Mus musculus: one gene and its partners. The protein of the gene in region 2 interacts with the protein of the main gene of each other region in a pairwise test. Links are inferred from orthologs where the notes say so. Each region holds a gene or a part of one and is shown on either strand. Other genes may lie near its edges. The genes, in order: Tshz3, Mtus2, Rgs2, Wac, Hck, Ddx6 and Kifc3.

Region 1 (4,300 bases), on a different chromosome or scaffold from region 2:
GAGACGCAATCGAGCCCGCAGCGCATCGATGCGCCGCCGCCCGCGCCTCTCAAGCTCTGGCTGGCGCTCAGCCGCCACCGCTCGAGGGTCGCCCGCGTGAATTCCAGCCCACCCGCGCCCTCACCACCAGAGTAAGTGAGCCCACGTCGCCCTGTCGCCACCGCAGCCTTCCAGCCGCCTCCTTCCCGGGGCACATCGGCCGAGTCTGCCCGGAGCCTCTGCGACCCCAATCACTCAATCAATAATCAATCCCCTTCGTCCAGAACTGCCCCTAAGCTGGGAGCGGCTGGGGCAGTACCCTGTCCAGGGCGCACCCCGGCGGGGGATGGGCAGGGGAACCCGAGTTTCTTCTCCCTCCCCCGTTCCCGCCTTGGCAACCTCCGACGCAGTGGGTGGGGGGCGCGGCCAGTAGCCCAAGGGGGCGAGACGCGGGGTGCTGAGACGGTGATCGTCCCAAAGTCAGTAAAGGAAACTTGGAGGTGCCCCCTCCCATGCTTACCCCCGAAACAAGCCTGGGAAAGTTTGTGGCGGGGGTGGGGTGGGGGAACGGAAGGAGGTAGCCACTGTAGGTCCCAGGAGGGAAGACCCAGAGCCCACACCCATGTCAGCCCGCACATCTTCTCTCCAGGGCACCCCCGGGGCCCTGGCATCTTTGATAGGGGTACCATCCCAACTAGGGGAGCGCTCTGGGGCTGCACGCGGCGGGTGGAGAGGAGTGTGGGCCGGGAGGGGCAGCCGGGAGCAGCCCGGGGTTGAGACCGGGTGGGGAAGAGGGATGGGCGGGGGCTGTGGGCGCCCCGGGACGCGCTCCGCAGGGCGGACCCCGCGCCTTTGCGAGAGCGCTCGGGGCGGAGACGGAGGGCCAGCTCCGGGTGTCTGGACTTGGGCGGGGGGCCCTGGGCAGGCGTCCGGGCCAGGACCCAGGCTGGGGGCGCCTCCGCGGGCAGGCGAGTGACACGATCATCTCCTTTTCCTTTAAGCTTGCCTGTTGCCGACGCCGCCGCTCCAGCCGCGCCGTGGGCAGAAGACTGGACCGCTGAGCCCCGGGCCGCGGCGGCGGCGGCTGCGCCCCCCCTCCACCCCCCCCCCCCCCATGCCTTGACCTCCCTGCCTGGGGGCGGGAAGCGGGGCAGGACCGACCGGGGTCGCTCCTGGGCTCCTCCTCTCATCTCTCTGCCCGCCTTCTCCTCCTTCACTCCCCGCCCCCCAGCCCCGAACCCCGCGCACCTCGTCTGGGGACGGGGCGGGGGGGGGGCAGGGCGACCGCTCCTCCCCGCCCCCTCCTCCTCGGGCCTCTGGAGCGATTTGTCAAACTTCCCATTCCGCCGGCAGCGCGGTCCTCCTCCTCCTCCTCCTCCTCCTCTGCCTCCTCCTCCCCCTCGCGCTCCTCCTTCCCCGCGCCTCCCTTGCCCGCCCTCCTTCCCTCCGCACGTTCGGGGATCGCGGCGGAGCGCAGCGAGGGGGGGACGCGGAGAGCCGGGGCGCAGCAGCATCCTGCGGGCGGCCGCTCTCCGGGGGGGAGGCTGCGAGCAGGCCCGCCTCGCCCCCCCCCCGCCGCCCCTCCCTCCCTCGGCTCAGCCCGGCAGCGGCGGCGGCGGCGGCGGCGGCGGTGGCAGTCGCGGGAGAAGCATCATGCCGAGGAGGAAGCAGCAGGCGCCCCGGCGCGCAGCAGGTACGAGCGGCTTCCCCTTCCTCCTCCGGTCCTCCTCCTCTTCCTCTGCTCGCGCCGCGCCTCTGGGCCGCCGGCCCCCGCGTTGCTCGCCGCACTCCTCGCCTCTCTCTCATTTTCTGTCTGTCTCTGCGGGCGCTGAGTAACTCCGGGAGCCCGGCTGGCTCGGGGCTCTCCTGCCCGGGTGCGCGCGCCCCCCAGTTGCCCCGCTATGTTCTTCGCTCGACCGGCTCGCACACCCTCCTGGGGACCACCGAGCCGGCTTAGGTCCCCGCCTCTGCCGATCCGGCTGCAGCGGGGAAGGCGCTCTCCAACCCGTGCCTTTTGGTGGGGGGCGGGCGGGGTCACCTGAGTTCTCTGGGACATCTTCCGCGTTGTCCCGGGCAGTACCCGGTGACTACCGGGACCAGAGCGAGCAAGAGTGAGCTAGCGGATCCCTCTGGCCACCTTACTGCTAATTCGATTGATTCTTCATTTATTGGGCCCAAACCCGGTACAGCGGTGGAAACCAGAGCGCACTGGGTCTGGGTATTGTCAGATGACTGTCAGGTCAGTGTTGGATGCTGACATTTCCTCCATTCCTGAATGTCTTCTTACCCCCTCCCTCTCTTTCCGCTGCTGCTCCCTACCCTTTTCTAGCACTTAGTTCTGGGACATATCTGAGTACTCCCCCCTCCCTCTCTTTTTCTGCCAGGAACGTCAACTCCTGTTAGGACTGAGCTGATTTTTTTTTTTTTTTCCTTCTGGAAAAGAGATTCATTGAAAACAAAACAAAACCCACACACATAACATTATTTTGCAATAATGTCGGTTGGGGGCACGTTGGCTGGAAGAAGGGTTTCTGGCCGGTTGCCACCCTTGATTTGATGACTGATTGATCGCCCGTCATGCCTGTGCCTTTGATCTATTCATTCCCAATAAACATCAATAAATCACTTGCAATAGTGAGGCCAAGCTCCGTGACGTCAGGAGGGCCCTGTCAGTGCAACTTCAGGGATTTGGGGCGGCTTGCCGAGAGAGGACCACATATGGACGTGATGTATTTTGATATGAATAACACTCAGACGTGCAGAGGCTCAGACGCTGCCTGAAGGGGAAGGTTGCTTAGGAGTCCTTTTCTTTAATCTTCTTTCTTCTCACTTCTCTTTTGATAAAAGAGGGGAGGGCTGAGCGAAGAAGGGTCACCGAGGTAATGTTCCACGTGCTGGTGGGATACAGGCTAGTGATGGTGCTATGCAGGCTGCTGCTGCTGGTGATTGCCATCAGACCAGCGGGGCTCCCACCTCAGCTGCACTCTGGCCTTCAGTCTCTTTACCAGGGTCACAGGGAAGCAACCATAAGGTACTTCTCCCAGAAGTGTATTGGTCTGACAGTGTTGTGAAGAAACCTTAGGGGGGAGGGGGATTCAACTTGGTTTGGTGCATAGAATGAAGGCATGTTTTCCCTCTGTACTCTCAGTGTTACCCAAATTTAGAAAGTTTGAAGATCCCAACAGAGAGCTCACCTCCTCACTGATGCTGCCTGCTCATCCCACCTCCTCCTTTAAATTCCAAGCTTTTTAGCAGTGAGCTTATCTACCCAAAATAAACTCTAAAACTTTGGAGGCATCCTTTACAAAGTTGGGTAGTAGGAATGTCTTGGGCTTCTTCCAGTCTAGATTTTTTTCTTTCTTTTTCGGGTACACATTTTTTAAGGTATCCGTGCCTCCATCCAATGAAACATATGTGGTTGCATCTTTACATTTATTTTGAACTCTGTAGCTCTTCTTTACTGCTCCACCCAGCCCATAGGACAATTTTCTCAAACGTGCTGTTGGTTTGATTTTTAAAAAAATTTTTTAAATTATTTTTATTATTTTTTAAAGCAACCTGTTCACTAACCTTTTTGCACTTCTAAGCCAGCCAGGAAATCTCAGGTCAGTTAAGGAAAATTCATTATATAAAAACTTGACTGCCCGACTAATGGGAGATGGAAGAATGGCTTTGCTCTATCAAAATGACCCGTCAAAACGACTTTGTTTCATATTTGATTTAATTGTCTCTCTCCTGACAGGCACATTCATCAATAGCTTAATGGTCAATCAGAAGTTGGCAGAATGAGTGCTTTCTTTCTTTCTCATACTCTGGTTTTGGATTTACTTTATCAGAATGCCTCTGCCTAATGGACTCGTGGAGGAGGGGGTGCAGGATGGCTGAAGGGCTCCACACAAAACCATTCCACGGTTAGGATGCTTGTGAGTTGCCCAGGCCAGTAAGTGAGCTGTGCTGTGCAGGATGCCTGCTTTGTTTTGTTTGCTGGTTTGCATAGATGGACTAGGAACTTCTCTGCTTCCCTCCTTTTTTTTTTTTTTTAGTTCTCGAAGCTGCTTTGGTGACATCTTGGGAGCGATAACAAATTGATTGCTTTGTACTGATAGAGAGACGGTGGGAAAAAGAAAGATGTCTGCTGATTGGTGACTGGAAATCCTGTCCACAGCAACCTTGAGAATACTGGAGAGCAACCCACCCACCCCCCCTCCCCAAAACTGAAAGGTCCGCTCAGCCATAAAAAAAGAAAAGTTGTTTTGCCAGCTTCATTAGTGTTCACCTAATTAGCTGTAAACCTGATGGATTCCTGACAGCTTTAATGATT
Region 2 (3,123 bases):
TGGCATGTAATCTTTCTAGTCTCTGTAACTTTCTCTTAATATCTGATGCTGATTGCCCTATAAAAGCCATAGCAACCACGGCTTGTTGACCCTCAGAGGTCAGGTCAAAAGGAGTCTAGCGTCTATAAGCTTCCATCAATCTTTCCAGAAAAACAGATGGGGGCTCGGTAGGACCCTGCATCACCTCTCTTACCTTAGCCAAATTGGTGGGGCATCTCGCTGCTCCCTTTAGATCAGAGCCCGGTGGTAAACTGCCAACCTCTCTCTACCTTGAGCCATATTGTAGTTCCAATCTGGCCGGTCCAGAGGGAACCCAGTGTTAATCTCATTAGGTAGGTTGGTTGGGACTCCATTCACTCCGGGAACATTTTTCTGAGCCTACAGGAAAATGCGCTCTTTTTCTTCAGTGGTAAACGGAACCTGGAGGAGCTGCTGACAATCATCTCAAGTGGGTTGATGAGAAAACATAAGAGACTCCACCAGCCCCGTCAGGCTGGCCAGATTCTCAGAAAAGGAAGCATGGTTAGCTTTCCAACTGTACAGATCTGCAGAGATTGCGGGTCCGAGGGCAGGTCGCCCACAGCTGGCAGAGGAAAAGCAGAAGTGGTGTCAGGAGCTCCATCTGCTGGGGGAATCTGGGCTCATCGTCTCCGGGTCCTGGCTGCCATCCCTCCAGCTGTGCTGTGGAGGAGCAGACCCAGGGGGCGGGGGAGGGTAGAAGATAGGGTGAAGGGGAAGGAACTTGGGGGGAGCTGTGGGTTGAAGAGGAGGCTCCGTTTTGGGAGGAACCTTTTGGTTTCACTTTTGTTTTCGAGAAGAGTCAGGGCTCGGGAGCCTGACCTACACTGGGGAATCCATGGTTTGATCTATGACGATGGATTCTGGACGAGGTCCTGCCAGACAGTAATGTAAGGCTGTTGATCTGGGTGGGACCCAGGTCTGCTCTGAAAAACAATGGCTTTAACTTTAAAGATAAGAGTCAAATCAAAAGTCCCATCCGGTGGCCATCCTACATCAAAAGTCGGCCACTTGGAGGCACAAAAAGTCTGTCAAGGTCTATTCTTAATTTCTACTGAAAGATTATGGGCCCTTGACCTAACTTCAGTCCAGTGGTCTAAAGTCAAACTTAGGGGGGTCATTACAGTCTGTGCCATTGTCCAAATCACCGAAAACACGAAACAGGTACACACACACACACACACACACACACACACACACACACTGACAAATGCCCATCTTCTAATGGACAGACAAAACCAACTCAGAAATGCAAAAGGTCAGGTAAGTACATAAGTCCTCCAATCTAGGAAGACTACCAACTCTTCACTCCCCATCCCAGACGGACTCCTGGAGTCCTTCCCCTCACTCCAGGGCATCCCCCAGAGCGGGCAGTGGGTGATTCCAGCATGTCTGCTGTTCACACTCCATGCCTCATCTTGAGGTGCAGGTCTCCGCTTCTCATGAAACGTTGCAGCTGCAAATTTCAGCACCGAACATCCCCGGCTCACAGAAATATTTTTAGACAAGAAATCTCACCTCCAAGTGGGTCTTCGGAGATGTGGGTGGTCGCGCCAATCCCGGGACGAGCCCCCAATGAAAGACCTTGGAAGGGAGACCCTCACTCAAGTCTCGGGATAATAACGGACCCCCAAGAACTCACAAGAGACCAAGCTTGATGCAAACCACACGAGGCTTTATTGGGGGGGGGGGAAGCCAGAGCTCTGGGGACGACTCGTACCCCACACAGGGGTAGAGGAGTCGACCCCGAGGGGAAAGGGGTCCCAGTTTTTATAGGCCCCCAGGGGGGAAAGGAGAAGGAGGGAGTAGGGGATTACCCAATCTAAACAATGTCTAGTCTCAAGAAATGGGTATGGGAGGGGTCAAGGAAAGAGTCTGGTGCAGGTGCAGCAACTCAGGATTGGCCCCGGCTGTAGTTGCTGGGGAGATTTTCTGACTCTTCCCCAGCAACCAATATCACAAACACCTGGCAATGGGCTTCATCAGTGGGCACACACATGGGTTTAAGGAATGGTCAGAACATTGGCAGACACATGGGTTCTAGGAGCAGCCAGAGCATTGTACACCTCTATTTTTCTAAATCAGTGAAGCTAGTTCTGCTAACAATGAAATCTATTTTGCCAATTTCAAGGCTTCTGTGACCTTTTACATTCTGTCAGGATCTTTCACTTCTAAAACACATAATGGAATAGACAGGCCACTCAGTGGTTAAGAGCACTGGCTGCTCTTCCAGAAGACCCAAATCTGATTCCCCGTACCTACTTGACAGCACACAACCATCTGTAACTCTAGTTCCAGGAGACCCACGCCCTCTTCTGGCCTCCATAGACACTGCATGCAAGTGGTTCTCAGACATGCATGCAGGCAGAACACTTACACACAGTAATTATAGAAATTACTGAAAACATGCAGCAAAGCCAGCAACTTAAGCACCATATCACACACACACACACACACACACACACACACACAACATGCCTTTCTGCCCCCTTCATTAGCCAACAGTGAACAAACATCTGTTTTTCTGAGTGCCATCCAAGAACATAACAGAGCCTCCACCCCTGCCCTCTAGGGCTTGTGGTCCAGCAGACAGACAGGTAGACAGACCGACTCTACAGCAGAGCTAATGACTCTGCTCACAGAGGCATGTACCTAGGGCAGGAGGTAGCGGGAAAATCTTCCTGGATGACTGGCAGCTGTTAGTCCGTACCCTGACCACAGCCAGAGGCAATCTCCATCTCTCTAAGCGACCCCTCCTATGGGCTTCTGGCAGCATGCTCATTTGGCCTACCATCTCCCCCCTTTCCGCTCCAGCCTCTCACCTTTCTCTGTGCATGACTGCCACAACCTCCCCTAACCCAGCAGAGAGACTTGTGAGCCATGAGGTATCGCCCCTGGCCTCTGCCCGTCAGCCTCAGTTGCGTTAGTAGGCCTGCCTGCTGCCTAACCATTGTTCTCTTTCGTGCAGACAACTGTCGGAGGAAAATGCAAACCTCCAGGAATACGTGGAGAAAGAGACCCAGGAAAAGAAGAGACTGAGCCGAACCAACGAAGAACTACTTTGGAAGCTCCAAACGGGGGACCCAACCAGCCCGATTAAACTCT
Region 3 (3,994 bases), on a different chromosome or scaffold from region 2:
GTTTGAGAATGGGTCTTCATTTTCCTTTTAGTAGATCTAGTATGAATCAGAATAACTAGAGCCTAAGCCGTACCTTTTTGTTAGTCTGTTCAGACTTTATGGGAAAACCACTTAGGTATTCCGCCGCATCATTCTGGTAACATAGGAAGCTGAATCAGTTTGTAGTTGAAGTCATGTATTAGTTCTTACAAATCAGGGCTTATTAAACCCTGCAGGAGCAGAGACAGGGGTTCTCACAAATGAAGCTTACCCAAACAAATTCTTTACACCAACCGGCTCTCACATCTAGCTCTAGCCCCCACTGCACCGCCACCTTAACTTAAGCAGTTGAACATCTAGTAATTCCTAAATCTGTTCAACCGTGAATGACTCATGAGGAAATCCTGATTCCTTACGCTCTGAAACTACACATGATCCGTGTGCAGCAGAACTGCGAGATCCTGGGTTTCCCTTTGTATTTCTCACCTATCTCTCTGATCTTTGCTGTGCCCCGCAGGAGATGCCCCTCGGGTCTCCTGGGGAACGACCCTGCAAAGCCACAGCCTGCTGCAGCCATGCATTTAAAGATCAAAACTGCAGAACTGGTTAAAACACCAGGTTTTAATAGAAACTTTCTCCCGCTTCCTCCCTGAGTAGCGTGGAATTCCCTTTAGGAATTCCAAGGTGCCTGAGCGAGCTACAGCACCTTACTCAACAGTCCATATTTCAGGTTTTTCTAGTTGTTTGATTTCCTTCTCTAAAATAGGTAGAGTTGCTGAGTGCAGCCAGCAGGGCTCTCCCCATCCCAGCTGCAGTTTATGGGTGTCCGGATGAACAATAGATACAAAGGTGGGGCGCGCGCGAACACACACACACACACGCACACGAGTAAAAGGTACGGTCTTCAGTAAAGGAAAAGCCAAGAACTCGGAGACCCTTCACCGCGTGGCTGCCCGAAGTGCCTACCAAATCTCTCTGTGTCCCCGCCCGCCACCTCCCACCCTGTGTGCGCACGAGGATGCGGCGCCTACGTCAACAGCGCCCTCGCTTCCAGGCCCTTCGGGGGCTGCCGTGACTGCCACAGGCCGGGGCGACTCCGCCCTCGTGCCGTCTGCAGCGAGCCAATCCGCGCTCTCTTGGGGCGTGGCTGACGCCTCCAGGTCCCGCCCCTATGCCGCCGCCCGCCTTAAAAGCCCGCGGCGCGCTCCCGGCCTCAAACAGCTGCGGTGGCCGCGGGAGTCTGAGAATGCAAAGTGCCATGTTCCTGGCTGTCCAGCACGACTGCGTACCCATGGACAAGAGTGCAGGCAACGGCCCCAAGGTCGAGGAGAAGCGGGAGAAAATGAAGCGGACACTGTGAGTATGCCCTGTCTCCCGAAGAGCTCTTCATACCCAGCCTGGCTTTGCTGCTAGGGACCTACCTTCCCTCGATCTCGGCTTTGAATGCTCTCTAGTCTGCACCTCTGCAGAGAAAGTGTGGGGGCTTGGGGGGTGGGGGGTTAGCTTGCTAGATATGGTGGTATTTGCTTTTTTTCTATGTGAGCTCCGAGAGTTTAGGAACTATAGGAAATGGTTGAAGAAGGTGGCGGTAGATGATCTGAGAAGGGCTGGTTGGCTTTTTGTTCTGCATTTAATGTGGCATCAGAATCCTGTAGCTGAATAACGTCCACCGGCGTCTGGACGTTGCATTGTTAGTTCTGAGCTGCTTGCATAGCTGCTGGGTGGAGATGTTTGAGTTGATTCGCAATGTATGAGATCCATTTTTAAATCATAAAGTAGGGCTCACCCAGTCACGACTATGGAATGAGTAATTTGCTCTGCAGTATCTGCTGCGGAGAAGCACTGTGGGCGGTCGCAGAGGGGAGCTAGGGAATCCATCACACACACACACACACACACACACACACACACACACACACACACACACCTATGCATTGTCTCTGGCATAGTGCAGACCCTCCTACCCCCAGTGCAGAAAGGGAAGAAACATCAGCTGGGTCAAGACTGCTGTTCTCAATTGAAAAATGACAGCAAGCTGTAGTTTAACCATGCAGAAAATCCACTACCTGTTTATTAGGTCAGAAATAACTGGTGAAAATTTAAAATACCCTGGCTGTTATGTAGTCCTATCCTGCTTGTAAAGCTCATTATAGTCGGATGAATGGATAAAACTGTGTTCTGAGGTGCTGGGTTTAAAAGCTAAGAGGGAGAGACTCATCTGCTTTGTTTGTAGCTACTGCAGCTGATGATAGTTTGACCGTTCAAGAATTGCCACTTGAAGTATTTTTTTTTTCTCTCTTTTTTTTTCCAGCTTAAAGGATTGGAAGACCCGTTTGAGCTACTTCTTGCAGAATTCCTCTGCTCCTGGGAAGCCCAAAACTGGCAAGAAAAGCAAACAGCAAACTTTTATCAAGTAAGTTTCGGATCCTGTAGTTACAGAGATGAATATCTAACCAAGCCAAGCAAAAGGGGAAGGGGAACTGATGTGTGTTGGGGAGCTCATTTGCGGAACTTCTCTTGCAGGCCTTCTCCTGAGGAAGCGCAGCTCTGGGCAGAAGCATTTGATGAACTGCTGGCCAGTAAATGTAAGTTCACCTCTTGAATGTGATCTCTCACCAGTATCTTTAAAAGCCTAGAAATGATTGCAAGAAGTGCATTAGACATTACCACCACTGACAGTTCAAAGCCTCTTTTTCTTTCCCTTATATCACTGGGTTTAATCATGGGGAAGCAAGAGGTATTCACCTCAGGTGGGGAAGAAAAGTTAGCCTAAAAATTAAAATGCCAGTTACTCAGGCTGTGGTTGAGTCAGCTTTTCCATTGCATAGAATATTTTCAAAAGCCCTAGTTCCTAGTGAACTTATGGCCTATAAACACTGGTCTTGCAGTGCCAGTGAAGTTAAGTATACTTTTGTTGCAGACTACAAACTTAAGCATTTTTGCCTACTGGCATCTTAGTGCTTAAAGAGCCAGACCTAGAGAATGACAGGCTTGAATGAAGTCTAGGAAACTGATCATTTTGTGCAGAAGAACTGTGTATAATTCGGTCGTTCCATTCATGCTGCTTTTCCTGTGCTTCCAGATGGGCTGGCTGCATTCAGGGCGTTTTTAAAGTCCGAGTTCTGTGAAGAAAACATTGAATTCTGGTTGGCTTGTGAAGACTTCAAAAAAACCAAATCACCCCAAAAACTGTCCTCAAAAGCAAGGAAAATCTATACCGACTTCATAGAGAAGGAAGCTCCCAAAGAGGTAAGAAGACAGGCGCCTCAGATCACCTTCAACACTGTTGAAACCTGAGACTTGAATACACCACATTCAAGCACAAGTGAGAAGAGCCCTGTGCGCCTCTCATCCCAGCTGTCCTAACATTTAAGTTTCTCCAAAGTTGACAGTTATAACTGATCACAAGTTACACCTTTATGTTTTATTATTAAGCATCAATCTGCAGTGTTGACTAGCCAATAAATGGACTTTTGTTTTGTTCTTTCAGATAAACATAGACTTCCAAACGAAATCTCTGATTGCCCAAAATATCCAAGAGGCTACAAGTGGCTGCTTCACCACAGCTCAGAAGAGGGTGTACAGTTTGATGGAGAACAATTCTTATCCTCGGTTCTTGGAGTCCGAATTCTACCAGGACTTATGTAAAAAGCCACAGATCACCACGGAGCCCCATGCTACATGAGACCAGGAGTCCCCCCACACACAAAGGACATTCCATTCTGTCTCCCAAGAGCAAAGGCTGTGACCTGCCAGAAAAAAAAAAAAAACTGACCTTGAATTCAGCCTGAGTGTTAGGAAAACATCGCTCAGAACTATTGATTCAATGTTGGGTAGTGAATCAGGAAGTCAGCAACCTAGGAGAGGCTCTGTGTGAGAACGGCTTCCCTCACTGTGTGAAGAACAGAGGGAGGGAACAGGCCTCTGAATGTGTTCTTCCTCCTTGTCGGGAAAGCAGAGTTTGAGATGAAAGATCCGATGCAATGTTGTTGGAGCATTTAAAATCAATAGGTCT
Region 4 (4,291 bases), on a different chromosome or scaffold from region 2:
TCAGGTATGTCATTCTCACATCTGTGTACATTGGGTGCATGCTGATGTGGGGGTGACAAATGAATTTTACTGTGTAAGTTTGCAAACACAATATTGAGTATCACTCCTACATCTTGAACATTTCCTCCTTTAGCTCAGCCCTGTGTTACCTCACCACAAGGGAATAAGAATAATGGTGCCAGTCTTTAGAATTTCCGTGCAAGACGTAATATTTTTTTCCCCTCTTCCAACTTAGTGTTTGGGACTGGACCAAAGGACCCTTATAGGAGAGATCTGACTACCCCCATTAAGGGCATTTTAACTTTTTTTTGTGTTTAATTTGTGCTAAAAAATGTTACAAATGACCTATCCCTCTAGCCCTCCAGTCACTTCAGGCACCAACAACCTTTTTTCTTAGTTACTGACAGCTTCTGTGGGCGTTAAGCAGGGTTTTACTAGTTGCCATAATAATCAACTTAACATTTGACAAGTGGATCTGACAAGCCGACACTGTTAGTTTAAAAAATCTTTTCAGCTATGATTTCAAGGTCTCTTTCCGTATTACACTATTTAGGATTAATGTAACCTTTTGGATACCGAGTAGTCTTTTCAATTTTTTTTTTTAATCCTTATGTGTTTTACCTCTCTAGCCTGCTTACGTAGCAATTCTTTCTGTTAAACCCATGTTCCAGGAAATAAAAAGGCAGTGGACTGCCACCAAGAAAAGATTGTCACTGATAAGTTTCCTCCCCGTGAATCGCAAATAATTTATAGCAACCTCACTCACTACACCGCTCATTTTCTGTACTCCCGTACTCTGGAAAGAATTTCCTTCCACGGAGAGGAAGAACTAGGAGGGACACAGGAGTCGCCGTAGGAAGGCTCCGTGCGGCCGGGCACTTACGTGCCATGGCCAATGCCACAGGCGCGCGGTCGGCGCTGCTGGGTGGCAGCACCAGCCGCGGTTCTGGGTTCTCCCGGCCCGCCGAGTGTGACTTCCGTCGCGGCCCGCCGAGGCTCCGCGACCACCGTCCGGGCCGCCCAATTAGGGGCTTTCCGACCCCCGCACGGAGCCCGAGGGGCGGGGGACACGGCCGCCTCGCGGAGGGCACCCCGCCCCCGCCGCCGTAGCGCCTCTGGGCGCACGCGCAGCTCCCGCCGCTCCGCATTTAGTCCGAGATGGCGTCCCTCGCGCCCCACGGTTCTCTTCCCGAAGGTGGCTCCCACCCTGCGCAGCCCGGAGGCCCCGGGGCTCGCCTCACGCAGGCTCCGGAGCACGATTACCCCTAAAGTGGAACGGGAGTGGCCGGATTCGCGAGCGAGGAAAGCAGCAACCGGAAGGGCTTGACGGGTCGCGGGGCGAGGAGCCCAGGCCGCGGAGGAAGAGGAGGGCGGGAGCGAGCCGAGGTTTGTCGAAGGCGGCGTTCTCGAGCCTCGCGGGGCGGGGAGGAGGGGGTGTGGCGGAAACTGCCGAGCTTTCCCGAAGGCGGCTGCGTCCGAGTTGCCCGGATGTAGTTGGTGGAGCGGCGGCGGCTGTAGCAGCGGCAGGAGGCGGCGAGAAGGACCCGGCGGCGGCGGAGCAGGAGGAGGGAAGGTGCTGGAGGCGTTCGCTCTCCGCGGGGACCGGAACACGGCCTCTCACCCCCTCCCCCCGGCTCGCGCTGCCGCCCCGTAGTTGGCACCTCTGCCCCAGCCGGCCCTAAGCGGTGGTGACGGAGGGAGATGGCCCGGGACCGCCGGCGCCAGTAACGGGGAGGTGCCGCGAGCCGCCGAGGGTGCGCTGAGACCTGGTGCCGGGGCTGCCCGCCGCCCGCCCGCCGCCCGCGCGCCCGCCCGCCTGCCTCGCGGCCGCTCTCCCCCTCCCCGACACACACACACAGCCGGGCATTGATGGTAATGTATGCGAGGAAACAGCAGAGACTCAGTGATGGGTAAATCGTCTTTTCGTTTCGGGCCGGGCCGCGGCGGAGGGCGGGCGGACGGGCGGGCGGGCGGGCGTCCTTATCGGGAGCTGGCCGCGCCGCCATTTTTGTTGTTAACCCTGATCGGGATCGGTCGGAGGAGGCGCCGGGCCGGGCCGGGCCGGGCGGACGGGCTGGCGCCCTGGGGACCCGGAGGGCTGGACGAGCGGGCTGTGGCTGCGGCCTGAGTCCGAACCCGGGCCTCTGAGCCCGGGGAGCGTCCGCCGCGCGCGGATCCGCGCTGGTACGTTTGTCCGCCGGTCCGCGGGGAGGGGCGGCCGGGAGACCCGCTTTCTTCCTTTCCCGCGATGTCTCACAGGACGGTCCTTCTTTACTGTTTTTCAGCTGTCACGACCGGAGAGGGGACTCTCAGCCTTTCCAGGTACCAGCCGATCCTGGGTGGAGGGATTGGAGGGGCTGGAGGGGGAAGGGAGGGACTGCTACTCGAGCGCAGGCTTCAGAAGTCGCTACAGGCCCTTTGGTGCAACAAATCTGAAAGTAGCACCACTGGTCCGCTTAAAATTCAGTATTGGGTTTTATTAGCATTCTCCAAATGCATCTTGAGAGGTGACTAGAGGAAGCACAGGGGTTTGTTTTGCCTTTTGTTTTTTTGTTTGTTTGCCTGTTTGTTTTTAAGGGAAAAAAATACTCGGAAACAGGAAGACCTGGCTTGGCTTGAATGTGAAGGAGTCACTGAAGTGTAGTGATATTTGACTTCAGAGGCCCATTTATTTAATATTCTATCGAGGAGCCGAAAGATAAATGTGAGAGTTGTAAAAGTAGAGTAAAGGCTTGAGAGCAGTAACTTGAGTTACTCTCAGTAACAATACTCTTACCATTTTATTTATTTAGTTCAGATTATGCTATTTCAAAGAAAAGGTTTTGTTTTTGCTTCAGTTAATTTAAACCTTCCTTTACTTAGTAATTCATGCTAGTAGAAATGATTCTCTACTATTCCACTGAAGGTTTTGCGTGTAAAGTTTTAAAGGTTTGCAGAAATGTCTTCAGGATACTGTCTGAAGATAACAGAAGTAAATACTTTATGCCTCTAATCACCCTTAAAAGAGAAAATAGGAACAGATCTGTGTCTCCCTCAAGGTTCCGTGGTCCAGGCTTGCTTCCAGTTTTACTCCTGTCTAGTCTTCAGAATGCTGGTTACACGTGGGAGCCAGCACATTTCCAGCCTGACTCTTGTACAGGAGCTTCTGGGATGTCAGAATATTTGCATCTGTCAAACATTATTTCCTTCCCTCCCAGACTGCAACACTGGGTTCCTCTTCAGACACCTGCAGTGTAAAACCATTATTTTGAGGGCATTTAGAATTCTTCCTGTTTAGAAACACTGTTCATGTATCAGTTTGTTTTGGCACATCATGTTACATTTTAAAAACTAATTTATCCCTGAAAGAGCTTATAAATTAGGGACAGTGCTTTATTTGAATCAAAAAAAAAGAGGAAAAACTGTTGTCTTTTTGAAAATTGTGGTTATTAAAATATGCTTATTTATAGACATGCTTGGATGCATTGGTTGTAGAGGTTAAGTGGATAGTAATCTAAGCTCTCAAAAATTGATTTTAGTTTTGAAGAATTTTTTTTTCCTGGTAGGTCAGTGTGCCAAAATACTGTTTAAAAAAAGTTTACATGATCAGATAGGTTTCTTTTCTTTTCTCTTCTTTTCTTTTGTGAGTGTGTGTGAGTGTGTGTTTTGTGGTTGCATCTGTTATCAGGAGTTGCATAGGAAATCTGGAGCCTTTCCCTCTTCTCTGAGTAAGGGAAGTACTGAAAATGGAAATTCTGAATTTTGATGTAAGGGAACCTGACATAGCAAAATTTGTCATTTAAATTGGGAATTGAGTTTAAGTTTTCAATTTTTCTCTCTCTTTGGGGGGGTGATGTTTTACAGGCACTTAAGTATTCTTCAAAGAGTCACCCCAGTAGTGGTGATCACAGACATGAAAAGATGCGAGACGCCGCAGATCCTTCACCACCAAACAAAATGTTGCGGAGATCTAATAGTCCTGAAAACAAATACAGTGACAGCACAGGTCACAACAAGGCCAAAAACGTGCACACTCAGAGAGTTAGAGAAAGGGACGGTGGTAAGTAGCTCTCGGGCTAAACTGTCATGTGTGTGTCCTGGGAGAGTTAGAGAAAACAGTGCAGTCAGCACATTACCATGTACTAGTATTATCACTTTGAATCCATTTTTTGTTTGTTTTTTAATTCAGCAGGCACTATGGGAAAATGGTATCAGCATGAACACACAGTGTTTGATAGTGCAGTTACAAATACAGGCTTCTAAATGGTGACTAGTGATTGGAGAGTTCCTGAACAGTTTCCCAAGAAAGGAA
Region 5 (3,500 bases), on a different chromosome or scaffold from region 2:
AGAGATTGACCTGTCTAGTTCTACTGAGAGGCAAAGAAACCAACAGCCCAGTGACAGACCTGTGGACAGGAAGGTGGCCTGGACTCGCTTCCACAGCCCCCTGGAGGAGGGGGCTTGCTGGGGATCTGCCTGATTTAGAACACGGTCCCAAGCACTTGGCTGCTTTCCAGATCCTGCACACCCTGTCTAGCACCAGGTACACCAGGTTCCCCTTGACTGGGATAGGCTAAGAAGGAGCCAACCGGACAGCCTTGGAACCCAAATGTGCTACTTGCCAGCTGTGTGACTCCAAGTGAGTATGTCACCTATAAAGTGAGGCTGATACGTCTATAAAGCATCTGCCTCGTGAGACTATTCACTATGATGAATGATACGATCCAAGTAATTTTAATTGATGAAAACGCACACTGTTCCTGTCATTCACTGTTCATTTGGCCAGCATGCTTAGAACAGCTTGGCTTGTTGTCAGTTGTCATTCAACAATCTAAACTTCCCTCAATGACATTGTGCTATTATAAGAAGGAGGAAATATGAAAGGCAGAGAAGCTAGGTAACATAGCTCACACGTGGTGGACTGCGGCCACAGATTGGAATGCTTGTGTATCTCTGGTCTGTGTGACAATCCAAATCATAGATTACTGTAAGCTGGACAGTTTAGAGCCACACATCTGTATTGTCTCTCAGTTCTGGAAGCCAAGAGTCTGAGTTTGCTGGTCTCTGGTCAAGATGTCTGTGGGGCTGGCTCATTTTGGAGTCTTGTAGGGGCGGGGGCAGGGCTCCATTTCATTTTCTGTCCTTGTGGGCTTTGAAAGGCCACAAGTGCTGCTTGGCTCATGGCTGTTCCTCTCCAACACCTATTTCCACTAGCATGTTCACAAACTGAGTCCTTTTGTTAAGGACCCCTCTGAGTTCCCTGGGACACCCCTGGACACTCTGTCATGTAAGGTCACATATTTCCCAGCTGCAGGTGTTCACATAAGAGCATCCTGGATACTATGCAGCTGACCACAGTGCCTATTTTCACACTTTAGTAATCAGACCAGATTTTCTTTGTTCTTTTTATTTGTATGTTTTCAGTTTCTCTCTCTCTCTCTCAAATTAGTATAGTATCTTGGCTTTTTCTTCACTAAATAGATACAGACAGATAAATGGTATAGAAGATAGATAGATAGATACATAGATAGATAGATAGATACATAGATACATAGATACATAGATACATAGATGAATAATGATGTGATAGTGACAGTCAGCTTACTTTTCCAAGTCACTTACAAGTATTACTTCTGTTAATCATGGGGCAAACTGATGAGATGGAAAGGCATAACAACTCTTATTTTACAGGCGAGGAAACTGAGGCATAAAAAGGTCCAGTGGTCATTTGGTCAAGGGCTCACAGCTGAGAACTGCAGAGCTGGAATGGGAACCCAGGCAGCCCAATGCCTCAGCCCACTCTTAATGAAATGAGCTTCTGCCCAGGTAGCACATGCCCAGCTGTGCCAGGAGAGGCCTGCGGGGCATCATAAGGATGCCAAGGTACTGACATCAGGTAGCAGGCTTCTAAGGTGCCATTCTGAGGGGCTTCTCTTGGACCAATACAGGGAGCTACTCGTTGTCTGTTCGAGACTTTGACCCCCAGCACGGAGACACCGTGAAGCACTATAAGATCCGGACGCTGGACAGTGGAGGCTTCTACATCTCTCCAAGGAGCACCTTCAGCAGCCTGCAGGAACTCGTGCTCCACTACAAGAGTGAGTCTTGCTCGAGGCCACGCCTCCACATTTGACTGCAGAGCCTAAGCTGCTCCTCACTGCACAGTGTGGCCAGGCTGTGAAGCAGTCACTAGCCACAGCTTTTATTCCTCAGCACCTTGGCTTTGCTTTGCAATGGTTGTTTGGTTCTGGAGAAGGAGAGTCTACTGCTTGCTAGGCAAGTACTGTATCATACCACGAGCCCCCACTAGGAGGGGCCTGTCTCTCAGAACCCCAGTGGCATGCAGCTCTGCACTCAGACTTCCTGGCCTGGACAGGCAATCACGCTGGGCACCCCTGAAGGTTTAGGCTGGCTGGACATGAGGGTGGCGGTATACAGGTGTCATTCATCATGCTCTGCGATTTGGGGAATGTCCCACCTGCTGACTGGGCACTCTGTTTCAGAGGGGAAGGATGGGCTCTGCCAGAAGCTGTCAGTGCCCTGTGTGTCTCCCAAACCCCAGAAGCCATGGGAGAAAGATGCTTGGGAGATTCCTCGAGAATCCCTCCAGATGGAGAAGAAACTTGGAGCTGGGCAGTTTGGAGAAGTGTGGATGGGTAAGGAGCTGGGGCCAGAGTCCATAAAGCCAGAGCTGGGAGGGCCCTGAGGGTACAGGGATATCACCCAGCAGTGGGGAATTTAAATAATAACCACAGGAGGCCACTCCTCAGATAGCAAACCAAATTGTCTACTGGGAAATCACTAGTTTGCCTTTGTGGCCAGGCTTAAAGGTCAAAGAACTGCTCGAGTCCTGGATGGGAGTTGTATGGAGTTGGGAACAGGCTACCTTGTGGGGCTAGCATACTCAGGGCCTCTTGTGATGGTGAAAATTCATAGTGAGGGGAAAGGCTTGGGTTTTCAGGTGAGTCCAATGCTGGCAACTAAAGACAAAGCTGTTCAGATCATGAGCCACAATGTCCAGTGACATTCCAGGCATGATGGGACACCAGAAAGGCCAGCACACCCCTGTGGTCCTTGGCCCAGTACCTTGAGAACAGGAGAGGTAGATGGTCACAATACCTGATCCACCATGTTAACACTCCCCTGTGTGGCAGATGGAAAGGACGGAGCTTGTAGAGATGCAAACATTCAGCCAGATAAAGTGAGTTTTGAAAGCCTGTGGCTCAACTACATTTACCAAGAGCCCTCTACATGCCAGGTGCTGAGTAAATGAAGCCATAAGGAAGTGCAAGGAAGAAAGACAGATCTGAGAAGCAAAGCTGGGACAAACAAAACAAACAAACAAACAAATAAACAAAAAACTGTCCCATGAGACCCCCATGCTCTCACTACAAACACCACAGATCTGGATTTGAGCTTCCTGGCATCCAAGATACACAGAGAAAGAAAAGCATGTATAATACCAGAGCCACTAAATGAAGCAGGGTGGGATGGAGCAAGAGAACAGTGTGTGGCAAGTCCCTGCAGCTGAGGACTTGAGGGTCAGGTGTATGCAGGGTGGTTAATGTGTAAAAGCCAGAGTGAGGCCAGAGAGATGGCTCACTGGGTAAGAGGGCTTGCTGCAAACACCTGATGATCTGAGTTCAAACCCAGAAACCCACACTGAAAAGAGGGAACTGCTGGAAAAGATCATCCTCTGACCTACACACACGTGCACACACACATGCACACACACGTGCACAGAGAGAGACAGAGAGACAGAGACAGAGTAATTTATTTTATTATTTTTTTAAAAGAAAGTAAGAGTGAATTTATTGAGTCAGGCCTAGTGATATATGCCTACCATC
Region 6 (3,500 bases), on a different chromosome or scaffold from region 2:
GCCTGCGGAGGCCAGAAGAGGGCATTGTATCCCCTGGAACTGGAGTTCTCAGGCAGTTGTGAGCCTGTTGATATGGGTGCTGGAGATGAACGCACATCTTCTGGAAAGAGCAGCAAGTGCTCATGTCCAAGGAGCCATCTCTTTAGCCACCTATTTTAAAATATAGTCAGGATTTTTGGGAAAATGCACATAAACAAAACACTTGTTACTGCTACCAGATATTAAATTTGGTTATTCCTAGTAATCAGGAAGTAACTGTAAAAATAACTTTATGGAGGCAGTCATATTATTGAGTGGTTAGCTTTTTAAAGTTGTGTTTAAATATTTAGCTGTGTATAGATATTTTTTTTTTGGACATTTGGGAAACCTATAAAATAGCTTACTAGTGAAAGTAAAGTTGTTAGTCAAATTGAATATTCATAAGAAAATTGAGACTCTTGCTATCAGGCACCTGCCTCCAACTCCATTTTTCAACTTTAAATAAAAAGTTGGCTTAAGAGCTGTAAATTCAATCCCAACATTAAAAGAAGACAGACATTGATAGTATTACTACACTGGTTAATTGGTTTATTTGTTTGTTGAGTCAGGGTCTCATGTAAGCCAGGAGAGCCTAAAGTTCAGCTTGGGATGGCCTGCTTCCTCTTCTGAGACAAAGGATTGTGGGTACTGATATGCCAAGCTTTACCTGATCTTGGAATCCTAGGATTGCCTAGGGTTAGGGTTTTATGCACTGCACTCATTCAAGATTCTTAATGTATATGTGGAATGCTTTGGTATATAAAATCCTACTTGTTAGGGTGGCTGACACAGTTTGAGGCTAGCCTGTGCTACAGATTGAGTCCTTGTCTCAAAAAAGCAAAGTAATGAGAAAATGCCACTTCTCCTTCAAGGAATGTTAAATTAATTAGAAAGTTGGTATTAAAACTTGCGTACCATGTAATCTTCATTAAAAGTACTTGATTTTGCCATCTCAGAATCAGCCTTAAGATGGAGTACAAATGAATGAGCATTAAAAATAAAATTGTAAAAAACAAAAAACAATAACAAAACTAGTTGGTGCCAGGTGTTGTGCAATCAGCAAGCACTTGGGGTAGGGGCAAGAAGGTCACTTCAGGTTCAAGACCTTCCTGCTCTCTGCTAGCCAGAGGCCAGCTAGAACTACAGTGACCTGTAGTGAAGATAGTTGAGCTTGGTTGACAAGGGAGTAATGTAATTATTATCCTAGTGGTTATTGGAATACACAAGAAATAGCTGTCAAGTCGTTTCAGAAGGGACGGGGTTTTAATTGGCTTTATGGACTGGGTAAATTTGATGTGGAGAAAAAAAGATTTCAAGTTTGAAGACTTGGGTTAAGAATAGTGCATAAAGGTCTACACAGAACGGCAGTGTGTGCTCCTAATCCTGACGTTTGGGGGTTTGACAGAGGAACACGAGTTCAAGACTAGCTTGGGCCACCAGTGATCCCCACCTCAAAAAGAATTCAGTGTCGTGAGTGGTTTTGGAAGGTTGTTGTGAGAAAGGAAGGAACCCTGATTATGACCCTGTTGTGAGCGTGAGGGACTTTGCCTATTAGTTTACTTAGATGAGTTGTAAATTGTTTACCATAAGTGGATGGAGGACTTCTAAAAGCATAATTAGTGAATTACCTTTCAATAATGAAAATCATTACTTGTTTGTTTGTTTGTTTGTTTGTTTTTTCAGATCTGTTTACCCGAGGTATTGATATACAAGCTGTGAATGTGGTAATAAACTTTGACTTCCCAAAGCTGGCAGAGACCTATCTTCATCGTATTGGAAGATCAGGTAAGTAAGAATGGGGGTAGCCTCGCAGACATTGCTTGATGAGAAATACAATCTTTCATTTTTCCTTTGTGAAGTAAAGTATAATAGCTGTGAGAGCAGTGAAATCACATCAATTGACTTGTTTGATATTTAAAACTAAGTAATTTTTTTATTAATCATTTATATTTGGAGACGGGGTCTGGCTACATACATAGAAAGCCCAGGTTATACTGGAACTTAAAATGTACCTGCCTCAGTCTCCCAAGACCTTGTGTCATTTATTAGAGTTAAGCCTGATAGAGCACCTGAATCCAATCCTGATACTTACGTAACAAGAGAGAAACAGCTGTCAACACACACACACTTTTTTTTTTTTTTTTTTGGAGACAGGGTTTCTTTGTGCTCTGGCTGTCCTAGAACTCACTTTGTAGACCAGGCTGGCCTCAAACTCAGAAATCCGCCTGCCTCTGCCTCCCAAGTGCTGGGATTAAAGGCGTGCCCCATCATCGCCCGGCTAAATTATAAAACTTTTTAAAGAATGTTCTTTAAAGGTAAGCTGACTGTATGTGGTGTACACTTGGGAAGAGGAGGCAGGTGACATCTGAACACCTGTGTGTTAGAGGCCAGCTGGGGTTACAAACTGATTTTGAGGCCAGCCTCAAACAACATGATTGAGACCCAATTTCGGGGGTTGGGGGAGTTAAAGTAAGCTGGAAATGGTGGCACATACCCTGTAATCCTTGTGTTTGAGAGATTGAGGCAGGAGGATCATGATTATAGTTGGTAGGGGGGTTGGGAGAAATGGGTTTGCTCTCAAAGAGCCTGTAAAGCCCTCTGTTTGATTTCCAGTACCCACATCAGGTAACATAAAAGCACTTGTAACTGCACCTTGTTAATAACAAAAAGTTAAGTCACATAGTATCTCACAAGAAGAAAGAAGGAAAGAAAGAGGTTAAAGTAATTACTATATACTTAAAGTGAAACACAAGAAAACTGGATTGATTGAATGGTGTAGTGTACAAGTGTATTGTTCAGTGTGTGTATTTTGACAGTCGTACAAACGAGTATCCAGTTTGTCATTTCAAAACCAGAAAATTAGGTATAGCTGTCCCTCGGGGTTCATGAGCAATGGGTTCCAGGACCCTTGCCAACATCAAAGTCTGGGTAGTCTCTTAAAAGCATGTGGTATTAGCATATAACTGGTGTCTATGTTACACTGTATTGTTTAGGGAGTAGTTGTCCAGAAGTCTGCTGCCTGTTCAGTACAGTTGATGTGCCAAGAGAAAGACCTAAGTTGTTTTGTTTTTTATTTGTTCAATCTTGTTTGTGCCATTCAGAATGCCACCAAATGAATATATTGCTGCTCTGTGTTTTGGCATATTACAGACTTGTTAATACATGTTGCTCTCAAAACATGTTAGATAGATACATACTTTTATATTTGAATCACTTTATTTACCACTTAAACTTTTTGCCAATTTTAAACTCATTAAGCACATTTTTCTTTAGGTCGCTTTGGTCATCTTGGCTTAGCCATCAACTTGATCACTTATGATGATCGCTTCAACCTGAAGAGTATTGAGGAGCAGCTGGGGACAGAGATCAAACCCATCCCAAGCAACATCGACAAGAGCCTGTATGTGGCAGAATACCACAGTGAGCCTGCAGAAGACGAGAAACCGTAACAAGCACGTATGTACCTAGTAACCTGACAGAAC
Region 7 (3,500 bases), on a different chromosome or scaffold from region 2:
CCACGGACAACCATGTGTCTGTCCCAGGGCCACACCCAGTGATAAGAGACTTTGGCCACTGGAGGTTGGGTTGGATTTCCCTTCTTTTTTGTCTTTTCCCAGTACCTACCTAAAGCAGGGCGCAAGAGCAGCCTCCCAGACGCCACCGGGTCCCTTCGCCACCGGGTCCCTTTGGCAGAGGCCTGGCCGTGTTCTGGTCAGAGGATCCAGAGGTCAGGGATTTGTTTCCCCTCCCCCCAGACTGAGACACCTAAGCCTGCAGTTCCATTATCCTCTGACCGCTGTGGCACCTAGAGCTAGCTGGTTTTATTTAGAAGGTTCTCCGGGCTCCTTTGCAGGTTCTGGGTTTTCGGCAGTAAGTACTGGCCAATGAACACAGGGAGAGAACACCTTACGGAGCCTCAGGACAAGGCCAGGAGTACTAGGAAAAGGTGCTTCTGCTTTCTCAGAGTCTGTGTGTCTGAATTTGCTGAGGTTGTTGGAGGATGTCACTCCCTTCTCTCTGAGTCTGAACCAGTGCCTGTTCCGTACGAACGAGCCCTGGTCCACCCAGATTCAGGGCAGGCATAGGGTGTGGGTAAGCAGTGGGCAGGCAGGCTTTCAAAATGGCCACCATCTGGCCAGCAAGGTGGGGCAGGTCCAGAGGAGGAAGGCTAGGTCCTCTTAGCAGTGAGGATTGGTGCAGCACCTGAGCCATGGGCCCTGTGGTGGGCCATGCCTCTGGAAACTGGCCTGTTGGGTCAGGTGGTTGCTTCCTCAGCCAGGGGCTTGGTCTGCGCAAGGTCCCTTGGGCCTCGCCTCTCCTCCCTTCTTCCCATTCTCAGTCCTCCCTTAGCTTCAAGAGAGTTTCTTCCACTACCCATGACTCTGCAGGTTCCACTCAACTCCTGGCCCTCTTACACGGGGTACCATGCTGAGGTCTGGGGCTCAGAGCCTCCCAGGACAGGAGCCATGTCATGGATGACACTCGGACCTGTGCTACCTGTGGGATCCCAGCTACTTTCCCAGGGCTGCTTTTGGGCTAGGTACATCGTCCCTGTTTCACACAGGAAGAGCCTACAGGGTCCCCCCTTCAATGTGATTCAAGAGGCAAGCCCAGCTCTCAGCCAAGCCAGCACATTCTGTCACGCACCAGTGCAGTCTGTGGCCATACTGATCACATGTCATCTGTGGCAGCCCCGTGTGCCGACCTAGAAGCATCGGGGGCTGCCCTTACTCCCTCTAGAATAGATCACAGAGGCTGGGCCTGTACCGTGTGACTTTCATGCTGTGTGTCACATGCAGAGCCACACAGCTGGGGCCACTTGCCTAGCACGGGTTGTCCAGCTCCGGATCTCTGGGGGGGGTGGGGGGTGGGAGGACACTAGCCCCACCCATGGGAGCCCAGCTACCGCTGCTGCCTCCCATTTCCCTGTGCCACTCTGGGGCTTTGCAGAACTGTGGTCAAGGCTTGCTAGTGGTGTGGGGTGGCCCCTCACCTTTGAGAAAGCCAGAAGCTAAGGCTGCATTGAAATAGAAGGCTCCCCAGCTAGCACTGGGCCTCCCTCCGAATGCCCAGACTCTTTGCAGGACCCCAGCTTGGGATGCTGAGGGGAGAAGGCAAGTCATTTTCTTGTTCCCCCTGGACTGCTGCTGGTTCCTCATTGCACAGAGCTTTGGAACAGCCCCATTGCACATCACAGCCCCTGATGCTTGTCCTGTCTCCCATCCTGATGACAGAACAGTAGAAAGTATTGGGGGAGGAGGAGTTGGGCCTCTCTTGTGCCTGTGTGACACTCCACTCAACCCCCCTCTGCACCCCAGTTCCCCCCCCCAGACCCCTGTACAGGCATCAACCTGAAAATGTGCCTAGCCCCTGGTCTGTCCCATGTGCTGGCCTGTCTGTGCTCACAGACATGCCCCCTACCCCTCCTCCACGTGCACAGGTGACCACTTCACACCGAGCAGCTGACTAAGTCTGGTACTCTCTGCTGTGCTTTTGAGAGATCGGGAATTAGCATGGAGAGCCATTTCTGAGTGAGCCACCTTTCTTTCCAAGTGGAAATTGCCTGAGGGCTGGCCACTGAGAGATGCACTAGCCCTGGCTGGAATTCACCAGTTTGAGGGGATTCAGGAAAAATGGTTTTCCTCAGTCTTGGTTTAGGCAGTTCTGTCCCCTAGAAGCTATAGCTAAAGTGACTTCCCCAGAGGCCAACCTGGAGGTCCCCTGCAAACCCATTTTGCTGTATCCTTCAGCCCCACCTGCTAGCATCCTCTTCCCGCCCTGATGGTGCGCCCTGTTGTGATGGCCGCCTCCCTCCTCCAGGCAGACCTCCACTCTCCTGCTGATCAGCCACTACTTTGCTTGTAGGTGGGCGGCTCTTTGGCATCGGGAGGTGCTCAAGCCTGTCCGGGGCACCAGGCCCAGACCCCGTGGTACATAGGACCGTGGAGGCCATGTCCCAGCTTCAGGAGGAGCTGGTAGTCCTTCGGGAGAGGCTGGCCCTCCACGACAGTGACCGGCAAGCCACAACCACCCAGCTGCAGAACCAGGTACCTGGGGAGGCAGGGATGAGCAGAGGCCACTCACTGCCCTCTGGGGAACAGGTCAGAGGACATTGTCAGGGCACCTAGACTCCACCAGAAGCCAGATGGTGACGCTCTTCTGGTTCGGGAAGACGCTGTAGGGTGAGGAGGTTCAAACCTGGTATCTTACTGCAGCAAGTGTCTTCGGCACCTGAGCGTCTTCCCAGTCAAAACATTTTCCTCTGTAATTGATGGAATCTACTTGCTTGTTAATTGGGGTAGTTGAGGGCCGCTGAGATGGTTCAGCAGGTAAGAGCACCTGACTGTTCTTCCAAAGGTCCTGAGTTCAAATCCCAGCAACCACATGCTGGCTCACAACCATCTGTTATGAGATCTGATTCCCTCTTCTGGTGTGTCTGAAGTCAGCTACAGTGTACTTACATAAAATAATTTTTAAAAAAAGGTGGGGGGTGGAGTCGAAAGTGAACTGCTCAGACTTTCTGGTGTCCCTAGCTCCGCTCCTCTCATCACCTTTAAGGTGGACCTTAACCCACCCTCAGGCCTCAGATGACTTGAGAATTCAAAACTGTATCTAGCCTCTGCTCAGGTTTTATTGGTGGGCTTTTTGGTTATGTGTTTATTACAATGTTCTTAAGGGATGGTATCTGTAGCTGTGCTCTGTAGGGTCCAACCCTGTGGAGACATGGCCAGCCTCCTGAGCTGTGAGTAAACCCTGACTCTGGCAGCACTTACTAGTCCTGGGCTAGGTAACTACCAGTCTGCACCTCATTTCCTCATCTGCAAACGGATAAGACAACAGAATCCAGATGTGCTAGCACATTGTAGGGGCAGATGTGACTCTGGAACCCTGGAAATACATCTGTCTGAGGTGGTCTTGGCTGTGAGGCTGTAGGGAGAGTTGTCTGTCCTGTGAACCCCACTTTCTGAATTCCAGCCAGGCCGAGATGAGTGTGGCTTGTAAGAGTGGACAAGAA

Evidence for each region.
Region 1: the proteins of Mtus2 (region 2) and Tshz3 interact in binary tests that used the Homo sapiens proteins (3 or more experiments, as listed by UniProt). The two-hybrid records come from large-scale screens. The link is inferred for Mus musculus from reciprocal best matches to the Homo sapiens genes MTUS2 and TSHZ3.
Region 3: the proteins of Mtus2 (region 2) and Rgs2 interact in binary tests that used the Homo sapiens proteins (3 or more experiments, as listed by UniProt). The two-hybrid records come from large-scale screens. The link is inferred for Mus musculus from reciprocal best matches to the Homo sapiens genes MTUS2 and RGS2.
Region 4: the proteins of Mtus2 (region 2) and Wac interact in binary tests that used the Homo sapiens proteins (3 or more experiments, as listed by UniProt). The two-hybrid records come from large-scale screens. The link is inferred for Mus musculus from reciprocal best matches to the Homo sapiens genes MTUS2 and WAC.
Region 5: the proteins of Mtus2 (region 2) and Hck interact in binary tests that used the Homo sapiens proteins (3 or more experiments, as listed by UniProt). The two-hybrid records come from large-scale screens. The link is inferred for Mus musculus from reciprocal best matches to the Homo sapiens genes MTUS2 and HCK.
Region 6: the proteins of Mtus2 (region 2) and Ddx6 interact in binary tests that used the Homo sapiens proteins (3 or more experiments, as listed by UniProt). The link is inferred for Mus musculus from reciprocal best matches to the Homo sapiens genes MTUS2 and DDX6.
Region 7: the proteins of Mtus2 (region 2) and Kifc3 interact in binary tests that used the Homo sapiens proteins (3 or more experiments, as listed by UniProt). The link is inferred for Mus musculus from reciprocal best matches to the Homo sapiens genes MTUS2 and KIFC3.

What each region holds. Positions count from the first base shown.
Region 1 is NC_000073.6:36,696,618-36,700,917, forward strand, and holds the start of Tshz3 (teashirt homolog 3), read left to right. Parts: upstream 1-1,500; 5' UTR 1,501-1,632; coding exon 1,633-1,672; intron 1,673-4,300. Other genes in the region: Gm36722 (zinc finger X-linked protein ZXDB-like), read right to left, coding at 246-1,493. UniProt on the Homo sapiens protein: Transcriptional regulator involved in developmental processes. Functions in association with APBB1, SET and HDAC factors as a transcriptional repressor, that inhibits the expression of CASP4.
Region 2 is NC_000071.6:148,310,320-148,313,442, forward strand, and holds part of Mtus2 (microtubule-associated tumor suppressor candidate 2 homolog), read left to right. Parts: intron 1-2,986; coding exon 2,987-3,123. UniProt on the Homo sapiens protein: Binds microtubules. Together with MAPRE1 may target the microtubule depolymerase KIF2C to the plus-end of microtubules. May regulate the dynamics of microtubules at their growing distal tip.
Region 3 is NC_000067.6:144,001,350-144,005,343, reverse strand, and holds the start of Rgs2 (regulator of G-protein signaling 2), read left to right. Parts: upstream 1-1,194; 5' UTR 1,195-1,225; coding exon 1,226-1,335; intron 1,336-2,290; coding exon 2,291-2,392; intron 2,393-2,502; coding exon 2,503-2,564; intron 2,565-3,061; coding exon 3,062-3,228; intron 3,229-3,469; coding exon 3,470-3,664; 3' UTR 3,665-3,994. UniProt on the Homo sapiens protein: Regulates G protein-coupled receptor signaling cascades. Inhibits signal transduction by increasing the GTPase activity of G protein alpha subunits, thereby driving them into their inactive GDP-bound form.
Region 4 is NC_000084.6:7,867,706-7,871,996, forward strand, and holds the start of Wac (WW domain-containing adapter protein with coiled-coil), read left to right. Parts: upstream 1-1,491; 5' UTR 1,492-1,869; coding exon 1,870-1,910; intron 1,911-1,987; exon of another isoform or gene 1,988-2,184; intron 2,185-2,285; coding exon 2,286-2,322; intron 2,323-3,825; coding exon of another isoform or gene 3,826-3,843; coding exon 3,844-4,039; intron 4,040-4,291.
Region 5 is NC_000068.7:153,132,468-153,135,967, forward strand, and holds part of Hck (tyrosine-protein kinase HCK), read left to right. Parts: intron 1-1,601; coding exon 1,602-1,751; intron 1,752-2,156; coding exon 2,157-2,309; intron 2,310-3,500. UniProt on the Homo sapiens protein: Non-receptor tyrosine-protein kinase found in hematopoietic cells that transmits signals from cell surface receptors and plays an important role in the regulation of innate immune responses, including neutrophil, monocyte, macrophage and mast cell functions, phagocytosis, cell survival and proliferation, cell adhesion and migration.
Region 6 is NC_000075.6:44,632,392-44,635,891, forward strand, and holds part of Ddx6 (probable ATP-dependent RNA helicase DDX6), read left to right. Parts: intron 1-1,701; coding exon 1,702-1,803; intron 1,804-3,291; coding exon 3,292-3,467; 3' UTR 3,468-3,474; intron 3,475-3,500.
Region 7 is NC_000074.6:95,125,558-95,129,057, reverse strand, and holds part of Kifc3 (kinesin-like protein KIFC3), read left to right. Parts: intron 1-2,350; coding exon 2,351-2,532; intron 2,533-3,500. UniProt on the Homo sapiens protein: Minus-end microtubule-dependent motor protein. Involved in apically targeted transport. Required for zonula adherens maintenance.